Astyanax mexicanus: one gene and its partners. The protein of the gene in region 1 interacts with the protein of each later gene in a pairwise test. Links are inferred from orthologs where the notes say so. Each region holds a gene or a part of one and is shown in the gene's direction. Other genes may lie near its edges.

What was found.
Region 2: the proteins of csnk2b (region 1) and araf interact in a two-hybrid assay, tested with the Homo sapiens proteins (2 studies listed by BioGRID and IntAct). The link is inferred for Astyanax mexicanus from reciprocal best matches to the Homo sapiens genes CSNK2B and ARAF.
Region 3: the proteins of csnk2b (region 1) and rnf7 interact in a two-hybrid assay, tested with the Homo sapiens proteins (2 studies listed by BioGRID). The link is inferred for Astyanax mexicanus from reciprocal best matches to the Homo sapiens genes CSNK2B and RNF7.
Region 4: the proteins of csnk2b (region 1) and prkab2 interact in a two-hybrid assay, tested with the Homo sapiens proteins (2 studies listed by BioGRID and IntAct). The link is inferred for Astyanax mexicanus from reciprocal best matches to the Homo sapiens genes CSNK2B and PRKAB2.

Annotation. Positions count from the first base shown.
Region 1 is NC_064410.1:37,124,775-37,132,757, forward strand, and holds the start of csnk2b (casein kinase II subunit beta), read left to right. Parts: upstream 1-4,837; 5' UTR 4,838-4,922; exon of another isoform or gene 4,923-4,951; intron 4,952-5,999; 5' UTR 6,000-6,009; coding exon 6,010-6,081; intron 6,082-7,128; coding exon 7,129-7,231; intron 7,232-7,983. UniProt on the Homo sapiens protein: Regulatory subunit of casein kinase II/CK2.
Region 2 is NC_064429.1:9,224,024-9,231,988, reverse strand, and holds the start of araf (serine/threonine-protein kinase A-Raf), read left to right. Parts: upstream 1-4,864; 5' UTR 4,865-4,944; intron 4,945-5,085; exon of another isoform or gene 5,086-6,669; intron 6,670-7,965. Other genes in the region: usp30 (ubiquitin carboxyl-terminal hydrolase 30), read right to left, coding at 775-957, 1,046-1,155, 3,254-3,327. UniProt on the Homo sapiens protein: Involved in the transduction of mitogenic signals from the cell membrane to the nucleus. May also regulate the TOR signaling cascade. Phosphorylates PFKFB2.
Region 3 is NC_064416.1:32,163,412-32,171,126, reverse strand, and holds the start of rnf7 (RING-box protein 2), read left to right. Parts: upstream 1-4,578; 5' UTR 4,579-4,637; coding exon 4,638-4,830; intron 4,831-6,728; coding exon 6,729-6,776; intron 6,777-7,715. Other genes in the region: pro-cathepsin H, read right to left, coding at 232-337, 522-553, 876-960. UniProt on the Homo sapiens protein: Catalytic component of multiple cullin-5-RING E3 ubiquitin-protein ligase complexes (ECS complexes), which mediate the ubiquitination and subsequent proteasomal degradation of target proteins.
Region 4 is NC_064411.1:27,924,489-27,932,417, reverse strand, and holds the start of prkab2 (5'-AMP-activated protein kinase subunit beta-2), read left to right. Parts: upstream 1-4,845; 5' UTR 4,846-4,953; intron 4,954-7,929. Other genes in the region: ift57 (intraflagellar transport protein 57 homolog), read left to right, coding at 818-884, 3,336-3,517. UniProt on the Homo sapiens protein: Non-catalytic subunit of AMP-activated protein kinase (AMPK), an energy sensor protein kinase that plays a key role in regulating cellular energy metabolism.

The DNA of each region.
Region 1 (7,983 bases):
TATTCCTGGAATACTCAAAAGATTGTACTATACTTTCAACTTTACCAAGGTACCTGAAGTGGTTACAGCTGTTATAGCATTTATGGTTTATTATTGGAGCCTTGATATACACACATGTATGTATATTGGTATGTATCTAAGTTTGTCTACCCCAACTTACATTCCCACAAACAAATGTTGCCATTTTTAAGTTCAAGGGAGCAATGTACAAGCAGAGAAGTGTCTTATTATAATAAAGTATACAGAGAGAAAAGTTAAATAAAATCTTTTGTTTTAATGGACCTGTGTGAGTGGTCTCTCTTATTTTTTGAATGTATACAAAATGGGCCTCACCAGTAAACAACTGACAACATTTAAGGGAAACTACAAATCTTTCTGTAGTCATTTTTAAATTATTGGCATGTTACAGCTCTTAGCCCAAATGTTAACAAAAATGTGTATGTTTGTAAACAATTAACCAAATTACTTTTTAATATTGCTGGTCTAGATTTAAAAAAAAAATCATAAAATACCTTGAAATAGCATGCAGACATTCATTTTCCACATATACTATGTATTTCTTAGTCCATTTGATCCAAACAATTTGTCATTTTTCTGTGATGTCACAAAAACTACTTTGGCTAGTAATTTTCCTGTTTGTTTTACAGCAGTTCAGTTAGAGGAATGTGTTAGCACTGGCCACAGTAGTATGTATATAATAGATTACAACTAAAACCCAACCTTCCTCCGGGTTCTCCGGTTTCCTCCCACAGTCCAAAGACGGCACGTTCAGGCTAATTGTAACTTGATTGAAATTGCCCCTTAGGTGTGAGTGTGAGTAAATGTGTCTGTCTGTCTGTCTGTGTCTGTCTGCCCTGCGATGTATTGGCGGCCTGTCCAGGGTGTACCCTGCCTTCTGCCCGATGCCTGCTGGGATAGGCTCCAGCCCCCCCCCCCCCTGCGACCCTTCACGGATAAAGCGGTTGACAATGAGATGAGATGAGATAAAACCCAACCAAGACTCAAAAAGAGAAACTTGCGAGGAATAACAAAGACACACAAAAAAGAAACACCATAACATGAAATTCTGAGGGAAATCTAAACTGAAAGAGAAAATCTCCACAGTAGCGTGAGAAAGAACCACTGAGCATAGCTGAAAATGTCAAAGTTTACACAACCAAGACTCAAATAAAAAAAACTGCATCGCAACATGAGTAATACCTGCTTAGGAGAGTCTATTCTCCTTTGGGTTGCACCTATAACTGCAATTAGGACACAAACACATAAAAGATACTTAAGCAGAAGCCAGAAAGCAATATGTGGTCTATTAGGGGACTGTCAAAAGTCAGAGACTGTATAAGACAAATGAGATTTCAGCTATGAGTGTAAAATAACATCAAAAATGCTAACAGTTTAGACAGTGGCTAAGTCCAATACAAATCATATTAGCACTTTAAAAGTAGTGTAATGAAAAGGCACCAAAGCAAAGGTCTTTATCATACAGGCTTAAAGAGGCTTCCAAGTAATCAATAAGCTTCCCATACTCTGCTACTGTCAACTATGTTAAAGATACTGTAAAAAAAACCTCCAACAAACAGCTGAGAGTCCCCATCTCCCTTTGGCCTTTTTACAGGGCTTCTTGACCCAGATTTCTTAATGCTGAAGTTTAAGACATGATCATGAAAAATGTTTTCTGGAAGACAGGATGTGTCTGTATAGTACATTTATACTATATAAATGTTAAACAATCTTTATTACAAAAAAAAAACTTAATTATGATAAAGCAGAACCCAAGGTGACGTCAGTCAAATACCCTTTAAAATCTGTGTAAATTGCCTAACGCCACTCTGTTCTTCACTTTGAGTTCCTAACTGACATCTACTGAACATCCTGAATGCATCACAGGACAGTGTGTAAATGTGTGTTTGTTCATCTGTTCTTATTTACAATATGTAGGTCTAGGTTTGTGCTGGAGATAAGCTAGCTCTATTAAAAAGTGTATTTTAGCTTTATAGCTCTGTTCCTATGATTTAACCGTTTAAAGGCTTGAATTTTTTATGTTCCATGTAACTAGTTCAGATTTTTAGAACAAAATGTTAATAAAATGTGTGAGTTAGCTGTTGTCTCATTTATATTACATCATGATTTTTACTTGAAAACAGTGATTCTCAAACTTCATAAAGTTATCCAAAAGCAGTGTTTAAGACTGGTGGAGGAGAACATGTCAAGATGCATGAAACTGCGATTAAAAACAAGGGCTATTACACCAAATAATGATTTCTGAATCATTCTACCACCTAGAAGCCATTCCACAGAAAAACATGTACCACACACACAGTAAGCTACACATGTAATCCAAACATATATATATATATATATATATATATATATATATATATATATACAGTTGTGGTCAAAAGTTTACATACACTTGTAAAAAAACATAATGTTATGGCTGTCTTGAGTTTTCAATAAGTTCTACAACTCTTATTTTTCTGTGATAGAGTGATCGGAACACATACATGTTTGTCACAAAAAACAGTCATAAAATTTGGTTCTTTCATAAATTTATTATGGGTCTGCTGAAAATGTCACCAAATCTGCTGGGTCAAAAATATACATACAGCAACAAAATTTGTCAATTTTGGTGATGTAGCGAGTTGTGTCAATCAAATTAGCTTCATGTCATGGCCTCTTCACTTCTTGTAAGTGATTCTGATTGACTACAGCTGTTGACTTCTCATGAGCCCATTTAAATAGGGCTCATTTGACCCAGTGATTAGACTCAGCTACAAAAGCTACAATGGGAAAGTCAAAGGAACTCAGTGTGGATCTGAAAAAGCGAATTATTGACTTGAACAAGTCAGGGAAGTCACTTGGAGCCATTTCAAAGCAGCTACAGGTCCCAAGAGCAACTGTGCAGACAATTATACGCAAGTATAAAGTGCATGGAACAGTTGTGTCACTGCCACGATCAGGAAGAAAACGCAAGCTATCACATGCTGCCGAGAGGAGATTGGTCAGGATGGTCAAGAGTCAACCAAGAATCACCAAGAAGCAGGTCTGCAAGGATTTGGAAGCTGATGGAACACAGGTGTCAGTCTCCACAGTCAAGCGTGTTTTACATCGCCATGGACTGAGAGGCTGCCGTGCAAGAAAGAAGCCCTTGCTCCAGAAAAGGCACCTTAAGACTCGGCTGAAGTTTGCTGCTGATCACATGGACAAAGATAAAACCTTCTGGAGGAAAGTTCTCTGGTCAGACGAAACAAAAATTGAGCTGTTTGGCCACAACACCCAGCAATATGTTTGGAGGAGAAAAGGTGAGGCCTTTAATCCCAGGAACACCATGCCTACTGTCAAGCATGGTGGTGGTAGTATTATGCTCTGGGGATGTTTTGCTGCCAGTGGAACTGGTTCTTTGCAGAAAGTAAATGGGATAATGAAGAAGGAGGATTACCTCCAAATTCTGCAGAAAAACTTAAAACCATCAGCCCGAAGGTTGGGTCTTGGGCGCAGTTGGGTGTTCCAACAAGACAATGACCCAAAACACACATCAAAAGTGGTAAAGGAATGGCTAAACCAGGCTAGAATTAAGGTTTTAGAATGGCCTTCCCAAAGTCCTGACTTAAACCCCATTGAGAACATGTGGACAGTGCTAAAGAAACGGGTTCATGCAAGAAAACCATCACATTTAGCTGAACTGCACCAATTCTGTCAAGAAGAGTGGTCAAACATTCGACCTGAAGCTTGCCAGGAGCTTGTGGATGGCTACCAAAAGCGCCTAGTTGCCGTGAAAATGGCCAAGGGACATGTAACCAAATACTAATGTTGCTGTATGTATATTTTTGACCCAGCAGATTTGGTGACATTTTCAGCAGACCCATAATAAATTTATGAAAGAACCAAATTTTATGACTGTTTTTTGTGACAAACATGTATGTGTTCCGATCACTCTATCACAGAAAAATAAGAGTTGTAGAACTTATTGAAAACTCAAGACAGCCATAACATTATGTTTTTTTACAAGTGTATGTAAACTTTTGACCACAACTGTATATATATATATATATATGCAAATATCTTTGCCAATTGTTCTTTACCTGTTGTGTGGTGCTTGCCCATGTTTGCAATCAGTAAGTTAGTAAGGTAAGTTATTTGGTTATTGTTGTTGTTGTTTTTGGCAAGGCAAGCAAAGAATGAAATCTAAAGGCTTATTTTAGTTTATTGCGTCTTATTTAGAACACTTTATCAAATTCATTTTATGGTTTTATCATTGTGTTGTGAAGTAAAAAGGTCAATATCAATAATGAAAGTAACACTGTTAAAAGGCTTCAAAATTTAATGGACATTATAAATTTAAATATTATATTATATAAAATTATATAATGTATTAAATATGATAACATTTAGAATTGTACTGAATTAGATTTTATATTCGAATACTGGTTCTTGTTTTGTGTGGATTAAAAAACAACATTCTTATAATTACTTGGAAATAATGCAAGGGTTAATGCACGTAGATTTTTTTTTTCATCTAATGTCATCTAATTAGTGTACCACCTTGTGATGTTTCGAGTACCATCAGTAGTACCTGTACCACAGTTTGAGAACCACTGCCTAAAATATTTAGTCATGTTCCCACAATAAAAGACAAACCTGAATAAGCTGCTCGCTGAATTTATCTGATTACATTATGAAATTGATATCAATATTTAGAAATGAGTCTGGGTTAATATTGTTAATAAATGTAATGTAAAATAAAAACTATTAAAATAGCATTTAATGCGTTTTTAAATGAAAGTCTTCATATGGAGGTGAATTTATTGGGGAAAAAACTACACTTCCCATAAGCACAAGCGCCTGGTTCGTCATGACGTTGCTAAAGACGAAACACGCCAATCAGCGCTCCGCTTCTGCAGCAGCTTTTAGCCTGAATCCGGGAGGTAATACACAAATACGAGTTTTATATTCGGTAATTTTGGCAGATATACTGTTTTTAATGTGTTACTGAGCGGGTTGGGCGCGGGCTGTTTGTGTTCGCTAGCTGTGGGTGTAAATGTTAAGGTGTTTGTCGGTACAGCGAGGAATCCGCGGCTCCGGGTTTATGCGGCCTGGCTGATTTGAGCTGCGCCATGTTGGAGTCCTTTAGCTGAGGGGCTAAAACGGGTTTTTAGGATTCTTGTAGAAAGACTTTATTTCTCCGTGTTTTAACGGGTCAGTATGTGTCGGTACTCGGCACTCGGTCAGTGTATTTGACGCCGCGGTGGCCAGAGGCTCGTCTGGTAGATTTAAACCCACAGTAAATACGGGAGGCTAGCGGCCTAGCAGCCTCGGGCTGGATTTGGGCTTTTTAGCTCGGCTAGCTTAGTTTAGCTCATGTTAGCCTATGTTGGATTAGCTAGCTGTTTTAAATATCTATATATTTAATTAGCTAAGCTGGGGTCAATAACCCGAGAGCTAAATTGTTTGTGTACTTAGCTAGTTAGTTAATCCTATTCTAGCATTAAAATCAGTATCTTGTAAATTGTGAGGGTATCTTGTGTATGCTATCCTATCCTGTCCTAGCCTAGGTTATACCTCAGTGTTCTCCTCTCAGAGCCAAGCTAACACTAGTCTACCGGTGTTCTGTCGATTTTAGCAAGCTTGTCACACTATGCTACCCTAGTGTATATTTAAAGGTAAAATACAAAACATTAGAACGTGCTCGCAGTGGAGGTCTCGGTATGATATTTGAATCAGTATAAAGTTAAGGCAATATAGGTGATTTTTTTTATTATTATTATATATTTTATCATTATTTTTACACTGTTGTAACACTCAAGCAAACGATGGCAGTAAGTCCATATTGTACAGTGCAATCGAAAAATTAATTACGAAAAACACATGATAACAGTAAAAATGAGAGTTAAGCGCATGCGCAGAACTGCTAAGAAGCACAAATCGACGGGTAACACAACTCGACAAAACACCGGCTCTGAGCTCTTCTTACCTTCTGTTTTGTTTTACCTTCTTTTGTCTAGTTTCCCCAAAATGAGCAGTTCGGAGGAAGTTTCGTGGATTTCTTGGTTTTGTGGTCTACGAGGAAACGAGTTCTTCTGTGAGGTTCGTGCTTTTCATGTGAAACCTTTACACATCAATAGTGGTAAAATATGGCAAACCCTTTCAGCCTAACCGAAAGCCCAGACCTTTTTCTGAATATTGATGCCAAGCTTCAACTTGAACTATTATTGAGGGCAAATGATTTCAAACCTTTATATTTTAACAGTTTGTTCAGGTCGAAACTAGTTATATGGTATGTAAAACATTTAATCACAACATTTGAACGGTTAAATGGCAGAAACAGATCTATATAAGCAAAAAACAGACTTTGTAAAGGATCTCCAGAGCTAGCCCAGCACTTCTACGTTTTGTAAATGAGGTAAGATGAACGAGGACAGATTTACACAAACTGTCCTGTGATGCTCTCAGGATGTTTAGTATGTGTTACTTGGTGACTTTGAGTTAGAATGACCGAAAAAGTGCTATAAGGAACTTCACACATCTTTTAAAGGGTTTGTGACTGATGTCACCAGCGGTACTTGCTTAGTTTTTACATATTAAGCTTTGTAATGCAGTTTTTACTCTTGGAATCTTTCATTGCAGTGATCAGCTTTGGAATTATTACTTCTGGCTATCTATGCTACCAGACCATTTCCATATTGTTATTTTATTTTGTGAATAAATTCTGGTTTTGATTAGTGATGGTGTATATATCTGGAGGTTTTGATACTTAGAATTGCACTTTACAAATCTAGAATTACAATCTCTACTAGTAAGTAAAACTAGATGTCGGTAACTTGTTTTACCAAGTAACAGTGTTACTATAGATAAGAAAGGAGGAGTCTTGACTAGTCAAAATTTACATTAATGATATGTGCTCCTTGTAATACATCAAAACCATGTTACATGGCTGATATCCAAAATAATTTTGCTGTTACATTACATAGATCTTGACTGAGTTAAGATCTAAATTAGGTCTTATTTCATTGGTGTGATGTTAGGCTAAAATGGCTTGCTATATTAATGTGTTCACCAATTGTACTTAATAATAAATGTTTATCTTGTAAATGTTCTTAACATGTTCAAACTCATGCTTACTGTGTTACCCAGGTGGATGAGGACTATATCCAGGATAAGTTTAACCTCACTGGACTCAATGAGCAGGTTCCACATTACAGACAAGCTCTGGACATGATTTTGGATCTGGAACCTGGTTAGTATGGCAGTTCAGCATGTTCTTAAAATGAGCTAATGTTAAATCAAACTACTATGTTCAACAGGTACCCATCATTATCAATGCAGGAGAGCCAATGTAATAGCATGGATTGTTACATTGTTTTGCCCAGAGCAAAGATACTCCACGTCCAAAATAAGGATGTGCAATATGACCAAAAATTCATATCCCCACAAAGGCCTTTTCAAATTCCAAAAACAGTATAGTATATCACAGTGTGACATTTTTCTTTCTTTGTTTTCCATAAAATAACCACAGCCTGCTGCCTTGCACAGAAAACTTCTCTACTTTATAACACCCTGCTGCTGCGAAAGGTCTTTTTAGTTGAGTAGTTGATCAGTAGCTGGGGGAACTGGATAATCAAGATTGAGAAACAGTGTTATATGAAGCGGAAGGTAATGCAGGGAATCTAAATTGATCTTAATACTGTTACTCTACTCACTGAAAAAGGTGTTTGTTAATTAGGTTGGCCACAATAAACCCAGTGTTTGCCGGTTACAAATTGTTATCCGGGTCTCCTGTTTAAAGAATAAATTTCTGCAGTTTGATCACTTCTGTCATATTAAGTCACCCAAGCAACAAAAAGGCTGCTGTATTTTGTGACTATATAGACAACAAAATGTAATTTCAATCATTTTTCAATCGCCACACAAAATATATTGCAGGATTTATCATCTTATCTGAGGTCAAACTAAATCCTGACCTCAATAACTTTTCTTACTAAATGTAAT
Region 2 (7,965 bases), on another chromosome or scaffold:
TGCGCAGAGAAACCAAGAGAAATCAGCAAATGCGGATTAACTTCATCCCACATAACTTAATCTTTTTCTTCCTTTTAATTTTTTAAATATAATTTTACAAACTTACTATAAGCCTCAGAATAAAAGGTGTTGAGTAACTAAGTACAAATATTTCATTATTTTACATTATTTTATAAGTAGAAATGCTGGCTATCTATACTTTACTGTAGTAATTATTCTTAAGAGGTTTTTACTCCTTTTACTCAGTGCTTTGCATCTTTTTTTTTTAAACAGGTCTGAGATCAGAGATGAGATTATTCAACACTCATTTAAGCCCTATTCGGACTGGATTAGTTTCTCAGGGGTTTCTGGGGTAATTTTTCTTTTTTATGTGGGTTTTTTATCCTCTGTGATTTTATTCCCATCCAGAACAACCATGTACGTGTTTTCTCCGACGTCCTCTGAGAAAATTACAGGCTGAATCATTTACTGTTTTTCTCTGAAATCTGTGGTCCTTCTGTGTTTCGTCACTTCAAGTTTAATAAAACAGCTTTTTGTCCACTGCCACGCACCATAATTACACTCTTTTTCACAGATGTCCCCCCAAGAAACTAAACCCATCCGGATCGGGTTTTAAAAACAATTGGAGATGCAACACATTCTGATCTCCGATCAGCTGTTTAGACTTAACAAAACCTGATTTGGGACAAAAATCTATTTAGTTGAATTTGAGTTTCGAGTGCTATTGCTGCTAGAAACACAGTAAAGTCAGAAACAGACTCGGACGCGCTGTACCTTTAAGCAGCTGCAGCAGAGTTACAGACAGCCGAGTGTCCGTCTCAGGCCTGGCTAGACTGATGCTGCTCTGGCTCTCGAAGTCCTCCAGCCACCTGACGAAGGACGGGCAGGCCGCCAGACCCTGAAGCAGCGAGTTCATAAAGCAAGTGTTTCCCAGATTCAGCAGCCCGGGAACTGTACCTGCAGGAAACGCCACAAACCAACAGTCAGTGATTCCAGTAACAATAATTTTAAAAAGCTTCACAGGAACACAGCCTGGGTTCTTTACCTTTCCTCTTCTTCTTCCTGTCTGTGATCGGACCCCACAGGACGTAAACCCCGGCGGCCATGGCAGCGGCGATCCCGCCGATCAGACCCCAGTTCTTCATCATCTTATTCCTGCGACATAACCAGACACAGTTCATAACATCGTCAATAAACACATTTTTTAAAACTTAAAAAAAACGTCACCAACATAAACTCCTTATATTTAACTTTTTAAGGAAGTGTAAAATATGTAAATCACTGTAATTTATAAAGGAGTTCTTTACAGGTTTCTGACAGAAGCAGAAAGTCTATCTACTAAAATTCACTCTGCAGCTTCTATGTGCAAAGACATACCTTCTCCATTTTCACAGGAAGCAGAGATAAAGAGCATGGCATGGTATATGAAACAATGGTTGATTAATCAGTAAAAATAAATAATAAAATAAAATAATCTTTAGCAGCAGCCCTAGTGAGCCATACACACAGACAGCAAGGATGGAGAGCATGGCAGAAAAAAATGGTAAATAATCGGGACAAAATAATCATACGATTAGTCGACTACCAGAACAATTATTAGTTGACTTGCTAGCGATAGAGAAAGCTAGAAACAGGAGCTGTATGCACACAAAGCACAGACAGAGTGTGTGGCAGAAATAATCACTGACTATTTGACTAATCTGAAAAATAATTGACAGATTAGTCGACAACCAGAACAATTATTGGCCAATGAGCTAGGGATGGAGCGCATGGCAGAAATAATCGCTGACTATTCTGAAAAAATATTATCGTACAATTAGTCAACTACCAGAACAAGTATTGCCTGATGAGCTAGCGATGGAGAGCATGGCAAAAATCCTCGCTGAATAATCGGTAAACTAATCGACAGGTTAGTGGACAACCAGAACAATTACTAGCTGACGCGCTACCAACAGAGAAAGCTAGAAACAGAGGAGCCATATGCAGAGGAAGAAGAGATGGAAAGCATGGCAGAAATAATCGCTGACTATTTTTTTTAACCGAAATAATTATCGAAAGATTAGTTGACTACAAAAACAATTATTAGTTGAGATGCTAGCGATAAAGAAAGCTGGAAACAGAAAGGTATGCACAGGAAGCAGACATGGAGAGCATGTCAGATATAATCATTGAGTATATGATCAATCGGAAAAATAATCAACAGATTAGTCGACTACCAAAATAATCCTTCATTGACGCTCTAGTTGCAATTGCATGTCTGTGTCTTTCACCAACACTGCAAAGAAGTTCAATTCAGGTAGCTATTTAAAGCACACTGAATGACTGTTTCAGTCTCTGTTTACATACTGAATGATGTGGCTAGAAATTTAAAACCTCTACTTAGACAGAACTGGAGGAAATGGAGAAACATCAATAGACAATGATAATCAGAAATCCTGAACAAATCCTGAATGTAAAGTTTAAGAATATTTAAGCATACTAGATTAGATAGTCAGGGAGCTAGTAAGGACTAAAACTAACCAGAATACTAAACCAGTGACAAACAGATCTCTCTGAACACAAACTAGCTGTTTAATTTAAAATCACTAGAAAAACTAGAAGCACTATTAGTAAATAACAGCATAAGAGCTATTACTAATACCTAGCTAGTAAATATAAAGGTTTTTACACCCACCTGTGCTGGACTGAGGGTCCATGCCACTCACCCTGTCCTTCTGAATGAAGATTAATAATAATAAATGCTAAATTAGACTGAATAAGGCTGTTTCTGTAAACAATAACACGCCACAGATATTGACTATAACCTATAAATACCTTTAAACCCTTTAAATCATCTGCTGTACTTAGATAACTAAAGCTCTGCCAGTCTTCTGATGGTTTACCTGCATGTCAGTGATCTCAGGCTGTAAATAAAGCTGTATAACTGATTTTAGAGCTGGTTGTAGGTCGTCAGAGCTCCTACACTAAAGCACTGAGCAGTAATTCTCCAATGCAGACTGTTAGCTTAGCTCTGTTAGCCTAGCTATACCTGTTTTAACCTGTATGTAGCTCTGTTAGCCTGTCTGTAGCACTGTTAGCCTAGATTTAGCTCTGTTAGCCTGTCTGTAGCTCTGTTAGCCTGTGGTAGCTTAGCTGTGTTAGCCTAGCCCATGCTACCAGTGAGTACTGAGCTCCGGCTGTTGCAGCAGGCTCCGCCCCCGCTCCCTCACCCTGCGCCGGTCGCGCTCCCCGGCCGCCCCCCGCTCTCACCGACCTGGCGGAGGACCCCGTGCGCAGAAACTCCCGGACCAGCTGGTCTGCGGCCTGCTGCTGTCCGCCCCAGCGCATCTTCTCCCCGCCGCGGAACCGCAAACACGCCGCGAGCTTGTTGCTCCACGGTCCCGGTCCTGGTGCTGGTCGCTGGTTTACGACACGACGGGGCGCGTTCCAATACGCGCCCGCACCCTGGAGTGCGCACAAATGTTGTAGGGCACTCGGCTATTCCGCCTACAACACATTCAGAAGGGGTGCGTCTCAATTGCCTGCTTATAGAACTAAGCAGCCCCTGAAGGGACATGGGGTGGTGAGCACCACATACTAAGTGGTGAGGTCCAGATATTAAGTGGTTAGCAACACATTTTTTAATGAAAAAATAACCCTACTATTCCCTTCACATAAAATAAAATAAAAATCCAATCTGTATGTTTTCTCATTATTCAATATAAAATGCTATCTCATTATTTTGAGACGCTAAGTCGTTTTTTTTAGATGCTGTCTCATTATTTTGAGATACTTTCTCATAATAAACTTCAATTATGTTGTTAACAAAATGTGTTTTTTTTTTTGTTAACAAGAAGTGCATATATGTATATGTATGTAAATCCAAAACATTTTATAGCTCCTTTTTTAAGTTGGTCCTAAATTTTAGGGTTGGCAGTAGAACATACAAAACACATTTCACAGAACTTAAATTAGACCAAATAAATTAAGTGATTAGAAGTTTTAATTTGTGGGATTTTGACACTTGAAAGTAAGAGGCAGGGGTATAAAGGAGAAATGGGACTGGGCCATAGACTAGACCTGGTGGATGCTTTTATTTGGCCTGTAGAGAAAATTTACAGCAGCTGAAGAAACAAGTGACAGATTAAAACAACACTTCAGCAGTATCTCACTGCACTGCAGAGGTCAAACAGTGCATTTAGCCTGTAGCTCAACATACTGAGGGCCTGAGCTGCCCTCTAGTGTTCTAACTACACTGTAATTACACACTTACTGCACACACTGCCTTTAAACTATCTTATTAAATAGTGGTTTAAAATCTGAATTTAAATTACACTCTTTATTTATGTATCTATTTATTTTTATATTTAATATTACTATCTAATATCATATATACATCTTATATCATTTACATCTTTACAACTCCTCTTGCATAGTCTATAGATAACACTTATTACTCACACATATTATAATTGTGCATCAGCAGTATATTTTTTATTTCTTGCAAATTCTTAATATATATTTTTATTTTTTTACGTATGCACACTCCTGTCTATCTATCTATCTATCTATCTATCTATCTGTCTGTCTGTCTGTCTGTCTATAAGTAAAGTAAGCAGTAAGAGTTTTGTGGATTTGACCGATCCTTTGATCTGTAAAACTCTTTTGACCAATGAGAGACGCTATTTCTCAACAACAAACCAATTACATCTCAACAGGTGGGCGTTCCTTTCATCGTGTAGCCAATCAGGGTAGCGTTTTCTAAAAACAGACCAAACAGATCACAAGGAGTAGGCGTTCCTTCCACAGTGTGGAACACGTTTCACCAATCCGGGACGCGTGCTTTAAAAAGAGACCAATCCGAGCGAAGATCTGCAGCAACCGGGCCAATCAGAGCGCTCCGCTGCGCGTCTGAAATCTTCTGATCCGACTTCAGATTGAGAGAATTCAAGATGGCGGGCTCAGGTGAGTATTTACTTCAGCAGCAGAGTGAGGGAGAGTCCGCGGGGAAACAGCGCGGGTCCGGGGGGGAGCCGGGGGCAGGGAGCAGCAATAGCCGGCCGGCTCGGCTCGGTTCGGGTGCCGGTTCGGGGGGACCCGGGTGGCGGGCTGCAGCGGGACTTTCTGAAGCAGAAGAGCAGCTCGGCTAACAGCAGCTAGCCTGTTAGCTTAGCGGCTAAACACAGCTAATCCCTTTCCGCCTCACCGACACGGAGCTGCCGCTCCTCCGTACCCGCCCGGACCGAACCCCGAGCCCCGCCGGTCCTGCCCGGCTCCACCAGCGGAACCGACTCACCCACGGACCCCGCTGCGGGCCCGGGCCTGCCTGTGCTATCGGGCTAAAGAGCTGTGAGTGTAGCTACCGCTCCACAGCAGGGCTGGGTGATTTATTCAGATATCAGTTGTATCACGATATTTACCTGTAACCTTTTTACCTATAACATTTTACCGTTTTACCGATATACCGAGAGATATCACAATATACTGGCATTCATAAGAAATGCACTTGTAGCAGCAGATTCTTAAAATGTATTAAATATTACTCCTTGTACTTACAGTAGTCAATTTACCTTTCTGTCTGCCTTGTGTGTCTATCTATGTACCTGTCTATGCATCTGTCTTGTCTGCCTGTCTATCTATGTGTCTGTCTGTCTTTCTATGTCCCTGTCTATGTATCTGTCTCTCTGTCTTGTCGGTATGTCGGTCAGTCATCTGTCTGTCTGTATCTTATCTGTCTAGCTGTCTGTTCATTTAAAAACCTGTCTGTCTATCTATGTACTTGTCTTATCTATCTGTCTGTCTTTCTATATACCTGTCTTATTGTCTGTCTGGTTTGTCTGTCTGTATATCTAAAAAATGGCTAAAAAGTTTATTTTTTAGGGATTTAGGCCTCACTCTGATGAGAATAGGTTATTGCACAGAGCATGTGTAAGAATCATTTTAAACTTGGTGGGTGTGATGCGGTCCAGAGCAGATGAATCCGATTCCAGGTTATGTTTAGTAAGAGAGTGAGAGAGAGAGAGAGAGAGAGAGAGAGAGAGAGAGAGAGAGAGAAAGAAAGCGCTCAGTGAGAAATTTCACTCCTTCGTTTCTTTGGTTTTACCATGAGTAAATAAACTACTGAGCTCTGAGTTTCCTCTTCTGAAGTCTCCACTGCTCCACCAGTCACTCGCTTTCAGCTGTAAAAGCGTAAAACTGAGCCGGATCCTCTTTTAGAGGCTGTACGTGTGACATAAGTACGTAAAGACGCGTGACGTGGCCAGAAGAACTGTAAAAAGCAACCCGACACCCCAGTTTTTAGACTGAATATATTATTAGGCTTAGCAGGGATGTTTGCTCCAGCACAATGGTACAATTAAACGCAATATTTTATCCACATTCTTCTCCACTCAGAAATGCTTCTGCTTTCAGTTTAGAAACTAAATAACATGGACTTCTGCTTTAATATCAGTGTTCTTATTTTAAAAAGGTGTTTTAAATTTTGTCTCTGAGTGGTATTAATTAAAAAGGTGTGAAGAAGTAACCTGTCCTGATCTGAGTTTGGTTTTCTCTCAGGGCTCCTGTGGATTATCCTACCAGCAGGTGGAGCTTTCTGTAGCTTATCAGGTGTTTGTGAGAGGCTGGAGAGCTTTGATCAGGGGTTTCCACACCTTTCCTTAGCTTTCCTGCACAGGTTCAGCTGAGGTTAAGGTGAGCAGTGCACGAGTCAGGTGCCTGGTGCGGTCCTAGCGAATGGAGTAGTCAGGTGCTGGGAGAGGATATGAAGCTGTGATTGGACAGAAGAGTGATTCAGTTTCCCAGACAGGGATTAAGCCTAGTCATGGATGGATATATTTAAATGGATATTTTCCATTGAAAAGAAAATTTAGTCTATGACTTGGCTTAATCCCTGCCCTTTAGTCTGTCTGTCAGTATATAATTAATATAAGATTTATATACAGCATTAGACAAAAATAAGAGGCAACTTAAAAACGATTTTCTTTGATTTTACCAAATTGAAAACATCTGGAATATAATCAAAAGGAAGATGGATGCCATCCAACCAAGAATTTTTGCACCATGAGTGTCATAAAGTTATCCAAAAGCAGTGTGTAAGACTGGTGGAGGAGAACATGATGCCAAGATACATGAACAAAAACTGTGATTAAAAAACAGGGTTATTCCACCAAATATTGATTTCTGAACTCTTAGAACTTTATGAATATAAACTTTATTGCATTATTTTTTTTGCATTATTTGAGGTCTGAAAACTGAAAAAAATGCTCTAAATGGCAATATTTGTATTTGGAATTTGGGAGAAAGGTTATATATACCAATAAATAACAAAATCAGAGAAACCGATTTAGAAAATTAATTGGTCTCACGCTCAATTTGTTCCAAAGCTATATAAGCGATGTGTAACTAAAGTGTAACTAAAATACTGTAGTCATGTTTTGAGTTCGAAGTGGATATATAAGTACAGTTAAGTAACAAGTGCTGAGTCAACATTTAGCTCATCTTACGGCTCATGTAGCTTTTGTGGGGTTGCCAAGTATGTCTTGCATCAGTGAAAGTCTGTGTCAGCGTTAGAACTTGAAATTCCTGTTCCTGGTTGCATTATACAGGCAGTAGCAGCAGCACTGACTAAAGCAGATTGAAGATAACATCATAATTTTAGGTTAAAAACAGTTAATGGAAGAAAGAACTTTCAGTAGTCTACTGTCTAGCAAAATAACCATCCAAAGTAGGTGTGGGCGATATTGCCCAAAAATAATATCACAATATTTCCCAGCTTCACAGCCTCTGTGAAGCTGGACAAAAGGACTGATCTCAGTTCGGCTAATTGTTAATTATCATGTCTTTAAAAATGCAGTAGTAATACCAGTTACTAGTAAAATTTAGGCAAGAGAAATGTGAAGCAGGCATAGTGAAAGCAATATTCAATCATTATTAAATAAACATTAACATAAATAATTGCAGTTAAGAGCAGCCTTAAATTCATCTAAT
Region 3 (7,715 bases), on another chromosome or scaffold:
AGTGTGTGAAGCTTTTTGGTGTAGAAGTTTGATTTTGATAAGCCTATTTTTTGTTTTGGTTGCAGTGCGTTATTTAGTATATTTTGAATGATATATAAGGTATTTTGCAGTTTGGTTGTGCTTTGGTTTTGTGAATTGTGTTATGTATTTTGTAAAAAAAACAGCCTAGTTTACAAAATTGTGTTTTAGCAACTGGAAAAAAACTGTAAGGAAAAGGTCAGGTGATCGTACTTCTGAATGTGTGGCTTCCTGCATTGTGATGGTCGATCCTTCTCTTGTTTTCAGTGAAAATCTGCAGCCTCTGGTAGTACTCATCCGGGCTGTATTTTTTATTGTGCTGTGAACAGGATTTAAACATTACAGACACTTTACTGAAAGTACACTCATTCAAATATTAAGCTCACTCTTTCTGTATTATGAATTTGTGGGTAATTCCCAATTTCCTTGTTTAGCTCATGTTACAGTAACAGTGTCACTTAATAAGTTCTGTAACAGAAAACTGAGAGGGATTTTTTTTTTACCTCAGACATCCAGGTTTTGAAGGCAAACTCATCTGCAGGACAAACAGAGACTGCATGTTTATTATACAACGTTACACTGCATTAAATAATAAAAGTTTTTCACTGGACCTGACTCTCTTGTTAAATATCCAGCTCAGACCAGCTGTCATCTAGAAAATATAAATATATAAATACTATGCTGTTAGACTAGCTCGTTAGGTTAACTATATGGTATATGTGTTTTGTCTGGTTCTTGAGCTGTATTTTTAGCAGGGTCTGTAGAAGAGAAGAAAACAAAAGCAGAAACGAAACTAAAGTCTGTATGTTGTTAAACTGGCCTCTCTCTTGATTTAAAGTTGATAACTGGACTCCTACCTTCCTCAGTTAAAATAGGAGAAGCGCAGACGCAGTAAAGAACCGCCAGGCAGGCGGTCGCTGTTATTAAAGCCGCTGTTTTCATGACTGAGTCGGGTCCGCTCCTCCAGCAGCTCTGAGCGCCGGAGCAGAGCACAGCCAACCCGATGGAGGCGCTGCTGAAACTCCCCCACCCCGCCCCCCGGGCCCAGATAGCAACAGTATGCTGCCAAATGTTGTCTATGTCGCACGTCGAAATTCGAAGTCAGACCAACGTTGGTCTGTTGTTGGCAGTATTTTTTAGAACGCTGGATAAAGGAGCTGGATAAAGGAGCGGAGATCGGCGTCAAAATGCCAACGTTTTACCAACGTCAGCTCCACGTTGGTCTTTAGCTTATTACCAAACAGCCCAAATTCTCACACACGAATATTGGAGCATGGCTGGAACATGGCAATTGTGCGTGCGCTCGCGCGTTCACGGGAAACAAACAAAAACCCACAGACAGACACATAGGGCACAGAACACAAACACACACACACACACACACACACACAGCAGCCACGGTCCAGTCGTGCTCCAAAACTGGTGCGCGCATTTGTTTGGGTAGATGTGGATAGGTGTGTACAGAACGCTACACCTTACACTGGGTAGCGACTTGAACCCTAGTTTGGGCACAACCTACAAACCAACGTGGAGCTGACATTGAAAAAACGTTGGCATTTTGACGACGATCTCGAAATTCAGTTTTTTTTAATAAGAGACCACTTCAGTTACTAAACCATTTTCTTGGATTTTGCTATTCATAGGATTTATAGGTTTATGTTTGAGTAAAATTAACATTGTTGTTTTATTCTATAAACAACGGACAACATTTCTCCCAAATTCCAAATAAAAGTTCAGAAATTAGTATTTGGTGGAATAACCCTGATTTTTATTCACAGTTTTCATGCATCTTTACGGAGCCCGGGAGGGGCCGTGGATAAAAAAAACAATTAAATCGAGTGAACGATGTAGCAGTTCGTGCTCACGTTTTCTTTAATTCGAGTGAACGATTTGCAATTCGTGCTCACGATTTCTTTAATTCGTGCTCACGATTTCTGTAATTCGTGCGCACGATTTCTGTAATTCGAGTGAACGATTTCTGTAATTCGTGCTCACGTTTTTATGCGCAATAAGACAAGAAGCTCGGAGGGAAAGGAGCATTTTCTCTCTTGATCTGTTACAGGGGTGCAGTAATGATAATCAGTTATCTACCTTTATAACCTGCTGTTATTAATGCACTAGTGTTACAGTTAGATGTACAGTACAGTGAGCAGATTTTGCCTGGTGGTGGAATCTCTACAGCGCGTGGGGGAGAGCCGTCCGCGGCATCGGTTCCCCCGCCGCCAGACACCTGCCGCGCGCGCAGGTCTTCACGGAGCTTATTTACCAACAATGTAGACAAATACAGTCAATTCCAGTCATGATTAAAGGAAACAAACATTACTAATGCAGGATAACTGTGTGTTATTAAAACCAGATCAAAACAAAGTTATAATGCAATGTGGAACTGTTTATAATTTCTTATTTTCAACAATAGTATAACGTAAAGAAGTATAATTATATAAATATACAGCTATAAGACTTAGGTCCAAATGTACACTGTAAAAGTTAATAAAGATAATACAAAATTAATGCAAGGTGTGACAGTTGTCTATGAATGGCTCATATAAGAGCTGCTTTAAATATGTAACACTATATAAAATCAAAATAGCTGGTCTAAAATACTATTAATACAATGTATTAAGATATTTAGTAAATAGGCATTTCATATAATAATTTGGATCAATTTGATAATTTATTCCAATATGTTTCCTAAAATAATTAAGTTTCTATATCTGATGAAATGTCCTGAATATCTGCTTATTCTCAAATCAGTGTCCTGCCCAGAAACATGCCACAAGCTTCAAATAAAAAAAATATAATAATTATAAACTTCTTAAATGTATATTTTCTGAATTATGTGTTTATTTATTATACAAATTATTAAAATATAGATTAAATCTATCATAAAAGTAATAATGATGTAACCAGATTTAAGAAGGTGTGCATTTCCTTGGAGGCTGGCTGAATGTTATTTAGAAATTAATAAACACATTTGCACATTGCATTATAACTTTGTTTTGATCTGGTTTTAATAACACACAGTTGTCCTGCATCAGTAAAATGTTTGTTTCCTTTATTCATGACTGGAATTGACTGTATTTGTCTACATTGTTGGTAAATAAGCTCCGTGAAGACCTGCGCGCGCGGCAGGTGTCTGGCGGCTTGGGGAACCGATGCCGCGGACGGCTCTCCCCCACGCGCTGTAGAGATTCCACCACCAGGCAAAATCTGCTCACTGTACTGTACATCTAACTGTAACACTAGTGCATTAATAACAGCAGGTTATAAAGGTAGATAACTGATTATCATTACTGCACCCCTGTAACAGATCAAGAGAGAAAATGCTCCTTTCCCTCCGAGCTTCTTGTCTTATTGCGCATAAAAACGTGAGCACGATTTACAGAAATCGTTCACTCGAATTACAGAAATCGTGCGCACGAATTACAGAAATCGTGAGCACGAATTAAAGAAATCGTGAGCACGAATTGCAAATCGTTCACTCGAATTAAAGAAAACGTGAGCACGAACTGCTACATCGTTCACTCGATTTTATTATTTTTTTTATCCACGGCCCCTCCCGGGCTCCGTACATCTTGGCTTGTTTTCCTTCACCAGTCTTACACACTGCTTTTGGATAACTTCATGCCACTCCAGCTGCAGAAATTCAAGGAGTTCAGCTTGGTTTGATGCCTTGTGATCATCCATCTTCCTCATCTTTTTACTTCTACTCTTTATATTTTCACATAAATAAATATATTAAATAAATATATATAAATATATTTTCACGTAAAATAAATATAATATAATATATATATATATATATATATATATATATATATATATATATATATATATATATATATATATATATATATATTTACATTTTTTTCTTCTTATTAAGTAAACTGATATTTCATTGGTTTAAGATACTAATTATTATTATTAATTTTTTTAAATACTATCTTATTATTTTGAGTTACTATTTTATTATTTTGAGATACTATCTCATTATTTTGAGGTACTCTCATTATTTTAACATAGTAAGTCAATTTTTGAAATACTAATTTATTATTTTGAGATACTATCATTATTTTGATATAGTAAATCATCATTATGAGATACCAATTTAATGTTTTTCTTAAATGTTTTTCTTATATTTCAGTTTTGTTTTTATTTTATTTTATTAATTCGTTGAATTATAATTTCTTATAACTACTTATTAAAACCGTGTTTTAGTTGTTGCCTCAGAGCAACATTATGCAGTTAGATCACTTTTGTTAGGACTTATGTGCAAGCACTGGTGTTTTTTTTTTTTTACCTTACAAATAAAACTAAATTTTATATGTTTATATATTTAATTAACGCTGAGAGGTGTGTTTGGGCTGTTAGGGGTTAATTACTACATTAATTGTTTATTTCAGCCCCTCGCTGTAGTTCTCTCTGTTTTCCCCCTTTAGCTGTGGATCACTGTGGTAATTTATCGCTGCTCGCTGATCCGGGATCAGCCCCGGTGCTCTGCGGCAGTGCTGGTCAGGCCGGGCTGGGTCTGAGCCGCTGATCCTGGGTCAGTGTTAGCGTTAGCGGGGCGGCCGGACGCTCTGCTGGAGTCGGCCATTTTGTAGCTGCCCTTTTCTGCCATGGCGGAGATGGATGACGGAGACGAGCCGGTTTTGGTGCACTCGATCAGCGGCTCCTCCGGGTCCGGCTCTGGGTCCAGCTCCAGATCAGCTGGGGACAAGATGTTCTCTCTAAAGAAGTGGAATGCGGTGGCCATGTGGAGTTGGGACGTGGAGTGCGATACCTGCGCCATCTGCCGGGTCCAGGTCATGGGTAGGTGCTGCTGTGGGGCGGCTAGCTGCTCGGCTAACCAGCTAATTAGCCAGCTAACCAGCTAAAGAGCTAACTAACCAAATAACTGAACAACCCCCCGAGCTCAGCCAACGTTACCTAATCCAGCTCAGCACCTGACATCGGTATTAATGCTAACCTGCTGAATCCGCCAGCTGGCAGCCCTTTCGACTCTGGTATGATGGAGCTGGATGAGCTAGCTGTAGCTATATTTATGTGGGCGGATTATGTGCAGCTATCTGCTGTTGCCAAAAGATCCTATCTCACAGAGAATATTAGCTAGCTAGCTAAATAGCTAAACAGTTAAGAGCAGTCTGTATCTGAAAGCTGGATAGTTTATTAATCCGTTTACAGGCCTTGTCTCGTATACGGGCTACAGGTGTAACATTAGGTGATACAAACCCTTTTTTGTCTGCATTAAAATTACTTATTTACATTCTGTAAATTTAAGGGCTTTAAAATCTACAGGTCACTTGGAGAAGCTGCCTGTTCACTCTCTACTCCACTTAATAATTTCAGTTCAGTAACAGGAATCAACCCAGACTCTGTATGTTTGAAAATAGACGTAAAACTAGACAAACATAACAAAACTAAAGGTTTCAGAAAAATATTGATTTTAAAATGAATTCAGGAAAGAGCTAATTTTATGATTTTTTTTTTTCATTATATTTTGACATTAGCAGATTAACGTTTTTTAAAATATATTTTCTGTTACAATTATGCGTTTCAGTAATGTTCCTTATCGAATATGAAACCTTTTTATGTAGAAATCTATTCAATCTGTTATTCAATGGTCAGGACCACCACAGAGCATCTCAGCACTGCAGTGACACTGACTGGCATAGTGGTGGTGTATGATGTGCTGGTGTGTGTTGTGCTGGTACAAGAATATCAGAGAGTACAACACCTTTTTAAACACATCAGTGTTTTTGCTGGACTGAGAATAGATAGTTCACCAACAACATGAAATATCCAGACAACAGTGTCCTGTGGGCAGTGTCCTGTGCTCACTGATGTAGGACTAGAGAATGAACAGCACAGACTTGGCAGCAACAGATTCAGGGTTTCTGTTTCTGACTTTGCTTTATCTACAAAGTGTAGGAGCAACTGTTGTTTAGGGTGTCTAATAGAGAGGACAGTGCGACTCGCACCGTGTTTAAAAACTCCAGCAGCACTGCTATGTCTGTGTCTGGCCCCCTCGTACCCCTTGTACCAGACACTAACACAAATTGCAAACTGGGCAGCAACAGATTCAAAGCATCTTTTTCTGACTTTATTCCATCTACATGTTGGGAGTGTTAAAGGCTGCCTTCACACTTTTCATGTTTGGTGCAGACCTTTGACTATTCAGTTTGGTCCAAACCAAAATAGCAGGTTTTGGGCCAACCAAAAGACCTGCTCTCAGTGTGGATTAGCTAAATTATCGTTTAATTAGTTTGCAGTGTAAAACACTTGTTTTTTTATGGTTCGGTTGCAGTTAACTGTGGCAGGCAATAATGACCCGTTAAACACTAGATGCAGCATCACCATACCAGTGTGACTGCAGTGCTGAGAATGACGCACCACCCACTCTGTGGTGGTTCTGTAGGGTCTTGACCATTGGTAGAACAGAGCGAAGTGGAGCTGATTGGATGGATAATAGGTGAAGGAACAAGGCGGTGGATTTAATAAAGTGGCCGTGGACAATATGATTGCCTTATGGGAACATACTGAGGAGTTCTATCTTGAGCCTCTTACCATATAGTCATTCTTGTTGTAGGTGTGTGTGGTATGTGTTTGGAAGCATTTTGCTGGGTAGCGATATAAATGTTTTTATAAAATAGTTATTAATACTTGTGTAATATTAATGAAACCTGTCTGTCTGTCTTTCTGTCTTGTAGATGCGTGTCTGAGGTGCCAGGCAGAAAATAAACAAGAGGACTGTGTTGGTAAGTAAAGCAGACAGTCAGTTGAGAGGTGCACACAGTTACAGCAGGCCACAGATGGCAGCAGTTGACTAATATTTTAGCTCCTGTGTATTCATGACCAACATGCTGACCTGCAGTTATGACTCAGCATCTGTGGTTGTTGCTGTTTACACTGACCTGCAGCGATTTGAGTAATGTAATCAACCCTAGTTTGTGTGTGTCCTTCAGTCAGTTTGATTTTATTCAGGTCGTTTGGATCACTTGGTCTGGATAAAAGGTGATATTCAAACATTACCTTGTTTTACGTTTGGTTCCTGTTTGTAGTTTTCACACTGATATTTAAGACCAAACTTAAATATATACACAAAGGAGATATGGGTTAAACAATCACATTTTATTGGGCTGATTAATGATATGATGTCACAATAGCTGCAATAAAATGTCAAATGCTTTCCAAAACATGTACTCTGGCCTTGAAAATGAGTCAGACCAACATTTAGAACCCCTAATCGAAATAATCTGGCTCATTTTGGTCATATTTTTTTGTTTTGTTTTTGACTTTTAGTCCTCCAAGTTGGGTCAGATATTGTAAAGCACCTTTTTCTTTAGGATTCAATATAATTTGCCCACCCCTTCTCTGACCCCAACTTCATAAAACCAAATGATTGGCAGCACTGCTTTCTAAAAATGTGAGATAATAATAATCATATATGTTTTCTCACTTATTGTGATGGTTGGGCTGCACCGAGTCCCAGAGACATAATCGCCCTAATTTTGTTTTTATGCAGAAAAAATGTGCAGAATTCATTGCACGGCTGGAATCTGGAATCTTTCTGACCATAATGTTTCCCAATCCCATTCCAGTTCTACCTTTTAAAAAGTGTCACATTTTAAAAGCAAACCTGGACACACATAAGTGAATCTAAACCATATGGAGCCAATGAGTTGAGTGGAACAGTG
Region 4 (7,929 bases), on another chromosome or scaffold:
ACCGTATTTTTCGCACAATAAGGAACACTTAAAACTATTTAATTTGTCCAAAAATCATCAGTGCGCCTTATAATCTGGTGCGCCTTCTACCAGTCAGCTTGTATGAAGCAGTAAAGTCACTCTGCTAAAGTACAGCGTTATAAAGGAGTTTAAGTTTAGCTCTCCAGCGCCAAAGCTGGAGTAGCATTAGCATTAGCTGCTAACCACGCTAAGCACTAGCTCTTTTACCATTCAGAGGTGAGTACTGTAGCCTGCATGCTTACACGTTAAAGCAAGCTACATGGAACGAACCGCTAGCTAATACTGCCCTGGCTTACCAGAACACTCGGTGTTCCTCAGTGTAGCGCTGTCAGCCGGATTTACGAGCGCTAACTGAGGCAAGCCCTAGTGGTTAGCCACTAATGCTAATGCTGATGCACACATCCTTAGTGGAAATCTGGCTTACTATATATAAACGGAAGCGCTTATTGCCAAATAAACAGTTTTCAGGAGAGAAACCTGTGTAGATTAACATCCAATGCTCATTTTATTTTAATATATATATTTTTTAAGAATTACAGTTTTGTTTACTTAGCTTAGCTTTACTTAACTTAGTTACCCCCACTACCACCCTGCGGGGAGATCTGCTGAATTAGAAGGATACTAGTAATGATCTCGTAATTCACCTTTTAATCCGGTGCACCTTATAGTGCAAAAAATATGGTATATGCACTTCTTGGTGGCAAAACAGCTGCAATAAACTCATACTCTGTGAAAGTATAATAACTGTTATATAATAACTGAATAAAATGAATCATTCAAAGTATTATGTGTTCAGATCAGTGAAGAGCTGGAGAAAGTCAAACAGGAGATGGAGGAGAAGGGTAGCAGCATGTCAGATGGAGGTAAAACTACACACACATATAAAAGGATATTTTAAACTTTTTTTAGAAATAAAAAACTAAAAAAAAGTGAGGCGTGCAATATTTTTCGCCCCCTTTAATTTCAGTGCAGAAAACTCACTCCAGATGTTCAGTGAGGATCTCTGAATAATCCAATGTTGACCTAAATGACTGATTATTGTAAATAGAATTCACCTGTGTGTAATCAAGTCTCTGTATAAATGCATCTGCTCTGTGATAGTCTCAGAGTTCAGAGAGCATCATAAAGACCAAGGAACACACCAGGCAGGTCCGAGATACTGTTGTGGAGAAGTTTAAAGCTGAATTTGGATACAAAAAGATTTCCCAAGCTTTAAACTTCTCAAGGAACACTGTGCAAGTGATCATACTGAAATGGAAGGAGTATCAGACCACTGCAAATCTACCAAGACCCAGCATTCCCTCTAAACCAGGGGTATTTAATTAGAATTCAGTATGGTCCAGTTAGAGAAAATTTCGACAGGCCAAGGTCCGGACCGATTGTTAACTTGTGTTATGATTAAGTTAAATATCCTCTAAGGTTGTTTGAACTGAATGATGAAAAAATATATAATAATAATAATAATAATAATAATAATAATAATAATAATAATAAAATGCCTCTCTGGCCAGATTTTGTATACATTCCTCCCCTGTCTGTCTCTCTGTCGCGCTTGGCGTGACTTTAGTTTACGCCCGTTCTCGTTTTTCCGCCCATTCTCGGGCTCTCTATCTCCACATAAAGGCGGTTTTACGGCCGCGTCCCAATTCAACAGCCGGAGCAGCGGGACCGCAACCCTGACAACAAGGGTTTGATCCCGCGCGAGGAGCGGTGTGTTTATTTATTTATTTTTTCCTTACCGCGTCTGCACAGATCTGATTGACTGAAGAGAGCGTTTGGTGATCTTACCCCACACGTGATTGGTCTGTGATTTACTGTGCCGCAAAGCGTGTATACAATTAAATCCTTCTCAGTAGGTTTCTCCGCAATGGACAACGTTTGGGTCCAGAACACGGTCCACCCAATAGTGACCTCTGCTCTAAACTTTCAGCTCAGACAAGGAGAAGACTGATCAGATATGCAGCCAAGAGGCCATGTTCAGATATCCATAAAAAATCTAGTTTAAAGTTTGCCACCAGCCACCTGGGAGACACACCAAACATGTGGAAGAAAGTGTTCTGGGCAGATGAAATCAAAATTGAACTTTTTGGCCACAAGGCAAAAAACGTTATGTTTGATGTAAAAGTAACACAGCTCATCAACCTGAACACACCATCCCCACTGTCAAACATGGTGGTGGCAGCATCATGGTTTGGGCCTGCTTTTCTTCAGCAGGGTCAGGGAAGATGGTTAAAATTGATGGGAAGATGGATGTAGCCGAATACAGGACCATTCTGGAAGAAAACCTGTTGGAGTCTGCAGAAGACCTGAGACTGGGAAGGAGATTTATCTTCCAACAAGACAATGATCCAAAACATAAAGCAAAATCTACAATGGAACAGTAACCCGTTGTTAAAATGGCCAAGTCAAAGTCCAGACCTGAATCTAATCGAGAATCTGTGAAAAGAGCTGAAAACTGCTGTTCACAAACCAACGCTCTCCATTCAACCTCACTGAGCTCCAGCTGTTTTAAGAAGAAAAATGGGCAAAAATTTCAGTCTCTCGATGTGCGAAACTGATACATACCCCAGAGACATACCCCAAACCACTTGCAGCTGTAATCACAGCAAAAGGTGGCGCTACAAAGTATTTTAATGCAAGGGGGCGGAATAATATTGCACGCCCCACTTTTCAGTTTTTTTATTTCTAAAAAAAGTTTAAAATGTCCAATAAATTTTGTTCCACTTCACGATTGTGTCCCACTTGTTGTTGATTCTTCACAAAAAATTTCATTTTCAATGAAATTTCAATTTTACAATTTCATATCTTCATATTTGAAGCCTGAAATGTGGCAAAGGGTTGAAAAGTTCTAGGGGGCCGAATACTTATGCAAGGCACTGTATATACATACAAAAAACATACTTACAAATAGTATTTTTTTTAAAAGCCCTTTAAAAATTTAAAACATTGTTTTATTGTTTTATTTACTGTTTATGGTGATACACAGTGGCACGAACATCCTGCAGCAGTGGGTGCAGACGCTCAATGAATCACAACATTGTTCAATTCTTCAGTGCTACACAGCGCACCATGCAGTATTGTTTTCATTAACAATTGTAATTAAAAAATAAAACTATACCATAGAAATTTATATGACTTGTGAAATAAACATAAAATGTAAAAAGATCGTCTCTGGCGTTGTGGGTGATAAATAAGGAGAAGCTGATAATAAACATCTTCTGTGTAAAGGAATAGTCTACTACGGGGCTCTCACTTCTGTGCTTCATTGCTGGGATGTTTGATTGAGGTGGCACTGATGTTTTGTTTGTTTTCAGCCCCGGTGGTGAAGATCCGTCAGAGCCTGACGAAGCTGAAGCAGGAGATCCAGCAGATGGATGTGAGAATGGGAGTGGTGGAACACACGCTGCTGCAGGCCAAGCTAAAAGAAAAGAACAACATGACGAGAGACATGCATGCTACACACATTACAGAGACCAGCACACACACCTACTCATAATGTCTCTTACACACACACAACCTGTATAAAATATATCTATTTATATATGACCTATATATATTGCTGTAAATGTCCTTGTCTTTATAACTTTTATAATAAACATCTAATTTCATGTATATAAAACGTGTACGTTTTATTCATGAAAAGTGAGTGAGTCACTGAAAACTATGTTTCTGTATAATGTTAAAGAATGTAGAGTAAAACATATATATAATATATATATATATAATTTATAATAATAATAATAAAAATAATGTATTTTTAACAGGTTGTTGAACACTTATCTTTACCTACAAAACTGAATTCATTCAATGACTATTTTAGAGTCAGAGACAGCTCCCTTGTCAGCAGCTTAGCTGTGCCCTGTATTTACACAATTATGTGCACTGTAATGTTCACTGTACAATTGGTGGCCACTGTTCCATCTTTGTCCAACACAAATAAGGTAAATCTGGTTATCTTGTCTACATTACTTTCCTGTAAATTTGATTGTTTCATCCTGGTTATCTTATCTGCAGATTGTACACAGTGTAATCACAATTGAGTGTCTGACCTGACAGACTGACAAACAACAACTTTTTCTGAATGAGAAGTGAAAACAGGGTCACAATGGGGCAACTGGTGGTATTTTTATGTAGTTGGTTTCGTGTCTCAGGTGGTTTCTGCGGCATTGAGTGGAGTGGTGGCAACTTTATTTATGTAACACCATTCATACTTAAAAAAGCATCACAATGCTTCAAAATAAACTTAAATAAAAAATGTAAACAAAACCCCAAAGCTCCCAAAAATATCCCCCCCCCCCCAAAATAAAATTCATGCCATAGACAGTGTGCAGTCAATTGTATGTATTTCAGCATTAACCCTTTAAGACCTGAATTATGTTCCAGTGCTAAAAACATATGAGAGAGATGTTTTCAACAGATGACTCTAATGTTTTGATATTTAATATATAGAAAAAAATTATCTAATGAACTAAAATACATAACTGCTTTTTTAATGTTCATGGCATTGGAATCACATGTTCAACCTTTTCTTTCTTTAACCTTTTTGTTTTAAAACCATCAACGGTAAAATAAAAATAATTAATAATAAGTATACTTTTAATCTTGGTCTCATCCGACAAAACACACGGTCCCAGTTATAATCCCAGTACCGCTTAGCCAACTCCATGTAAAAAATACATTTATTTTAAGGCTTTTTACACATTTTAACTAGGGATGCCAATAATTTGAGGGCTGTATATTCTTATTGACAACAAATCTCATAAAAGTCCAGTGTAGTGCACGCAGGGTCTCAAATGGTTAAGTGTAAAACGCGTTACTCGCCGCCTTCTGGGTTTTTTGGATGTTGCGCTTGCCGTACAATGTCAAGTATGTTGTCAAAGTTGGATTAGGAGGTAGAGCGACGGAAATAAGGGCTTTTTAACCGTGAAACAGGTGAGTTTTCCCTGCATTTTGAGTGTGTTTAAAGTGTACTGGTTTAAACTCGCATATTTTGTGATATTTAACTGGGAGAGCAGGCTAATATTCACCCTGTAGCTCTCAGGCTAGTGCAACTGTAGCCGTTAGCCCGCTAAGCTAACTGGTAAAGGCAGTTAGCTGTGGGAGTAGCGGGGCTAGCCCAGCCCGTGTCGCAGTGTCCGACCTGTTACTGGAGCCGGAGGGAGAAACGGTTTACTGTAACGTTAAACACACTAACACAGTGACACAGTGAGCTGTTTTACTTTAGTTCACAATTTTTTTCCAGTCGCTTAATTGCTTTAATCCAATCTGCACTTACCTTTTCAAAATTTTATATACATTTAACCCAACATCTGTTGTGGACTATACTATTCACACAATTCATGTTGCTAGCACGCAATATGCATTCAGTTTTAAACATGCTTACATTTTATTAACAAACAGAATTCCCCACATGAGAGAAAGAGAAAGAAGAGAGGAAGAAAAATATCTGGACAGGGAAATTTATAGTTAGTTTACATTTACATTGTAAATGAATGTATTTTAGTACAATATAAATATATTAAAGAAGCTTAGTTGTTCTGGAGTTTGTCTGGAGTTGTCTTGAGTCTGAATGATATATGATTATACTTCTCACCCAACCACAATCAGATTCACTCTATCTGGATGGAGAGATTTATCTGGAAAGGGTTTTTTGAACTTTGAGAAAACCCAGGCTTGAGTAAAAGTGCTCGATCAAAAAAGTGACTTAAGTAGAAGTTAAAGTGTTTTTTGATCACCACACTTAAGTGAAAGTACTAAAGTATTCAACATTTCTGAGCATTTTTAATACAGAGATTACAAATTAGGCAGATAAAAAAAAATAAAGTGCTAAAATAGTGTTTAAAAAACAAAACAGTTAATCTATTGAATTCAGAGTGCTTTAAAAAAAATCATTACAGACAATAATAAATAAAATAAATTAAATATGAAAGCAAAGTTTTCTCCTGCTAGATTTCATGAATTATTAACATCCGTTTAGGGTCTTTAGAAAATATGACAGAAATTGTTCTATTTTAGAATGCAAAAAAAAAAAAAAACTAGTGTCATTTGTGTGTGAGGGAATAATTTTAGCCAATGTAAACTAAAGTTGTTCAGTTTGTGAAAAACAACAGTGATTGTCATTATAAAAGATTATATGTATTGATGCACAGAATCAAGCCAGACAGAAAAACGAACCGGTGTGCCGCCCAGCGGTCTGCCCAGCGCCAGGTGAAGCAGAACAAGCCTGTTATATTGTGATGTATTGGCTGTTGACGGTCATGTGTGTTTGCTATGCATAACATCACAAAGCTATTTTTAAGGCTTTATTCCTGTGATCTGTGCTGTGGAAGTACATCACTTTGTGTACTAGCACATTATCGTGATGCTAGCGTTAGCATTATCTATCTTTAAAGATGGTAAATCAGCCCAACGCACAACATAAACATTAAAAAAAAAAAAGCAAGAGGATATGAGGTAAAATTAGGCTGACTGCAGAACATCCTTGACCACAGAATACCTTCAGCTTGGCTCTTAACACAAATAGAACCTCACTGTTATGTCACTTGTCAGTGCCTGATCGTGCTACTGTAAACAAGCCAAGGTGATGTGATGTGATTGATTTAAATAAAATTGTAGGTAGTATCGAATACACACTTTCATTTAAAACACTACTATTTAGTAAGTGGGGTTTCAACACACAGCTTAGTAACTACTGTCTGACAGCAATCTTCACATGTAAACTAATATTTAACCCAAGAGTTAACATACCCTGTCATAGACCCAGTATTTTAACCCCAATATATTTACAGTCATATTCCCACAATTAAGAACAAGTAAACATGAATGAGCTGTATATATGATTATGAAACCTCACTCAACAACCAACTTTTACAGGTGCTAAATTTGTCATACAGTCATATGAAAAAGTTTGGGACCCCATATTAATCATAATCATTTTTAGTTGTAAATATTTGGGTGTTTGTAACAGCCATTTCAGTTTGATATATCTAATAACTGATGGACACAGTAATAGTTCAGAATTGAAATAAGGTTTATTGCACTGAACAGAAAATGTGCAATATGCATTAAACCAAAATTTGACCGTGCAAAAGTATGGGCACCCTTATCATTTTATTGATTTGAATACTCAGACATCCGAAGCTGCAAAAGTTGATTTCAGGGAGGTTAATCACCTGACAGTAGCAGTAGAACATTCATGTGTAGGATGTTGCATCACTGCTATTCAAAAGTTAGTCGACAGAGCAAAATTAAGGAACCCTAAGTGTTGCGGTAAGGGCAATATTAGCTAGCGGTTCTCCAGCAGTGCTAGCTTGGGTTAGCATCAGGCTGCAGGTGGTTAATGCTCACCTCTAAACGGCAAAGTGGCTAGTGCTTAGCACGGGTAGCGGCTAATGCTTATGCTGCTCCAGCAGGGCTAGCCAGGGTTAGCAGCAGGCTACAGGCCGATAATACTCACCTCTGTTAACGGCTAATACTGGTGGAGAACTAAAATTAAACTCCTGTATAACTCTGTTTTTCAGCGAAGTGGCTTTACTGCTCCTTAATACCTGACTGGTAGAATTCATACATAAAGCGCACCAGATTAAAAGGTGCACTAGTAATTTTTAGGAAAATTGAAGGATTTTATGAGCACCTTGCGTAAAATGTAAAATATTTAAGAGCCATTCATTTCTCTGACTGGACTGCACAACTGACTGACTGGACAACTTTGTATTAATTTAAGAAATACTTGCTTTGTTGTGGAGTTCCAAAGGTCATGTAATTCATCTTAAGGTTCAAAAATAAAATTCAGTGTTTAAAAAAATGTTAATTGTTTTGCTTTTTAATATTTTAAATACAGTGTTTTTAATAATTTATGAATAATATTTTTAGAAAGGCAGACTGGTCCTTACTTTTTTCTTATGGTTC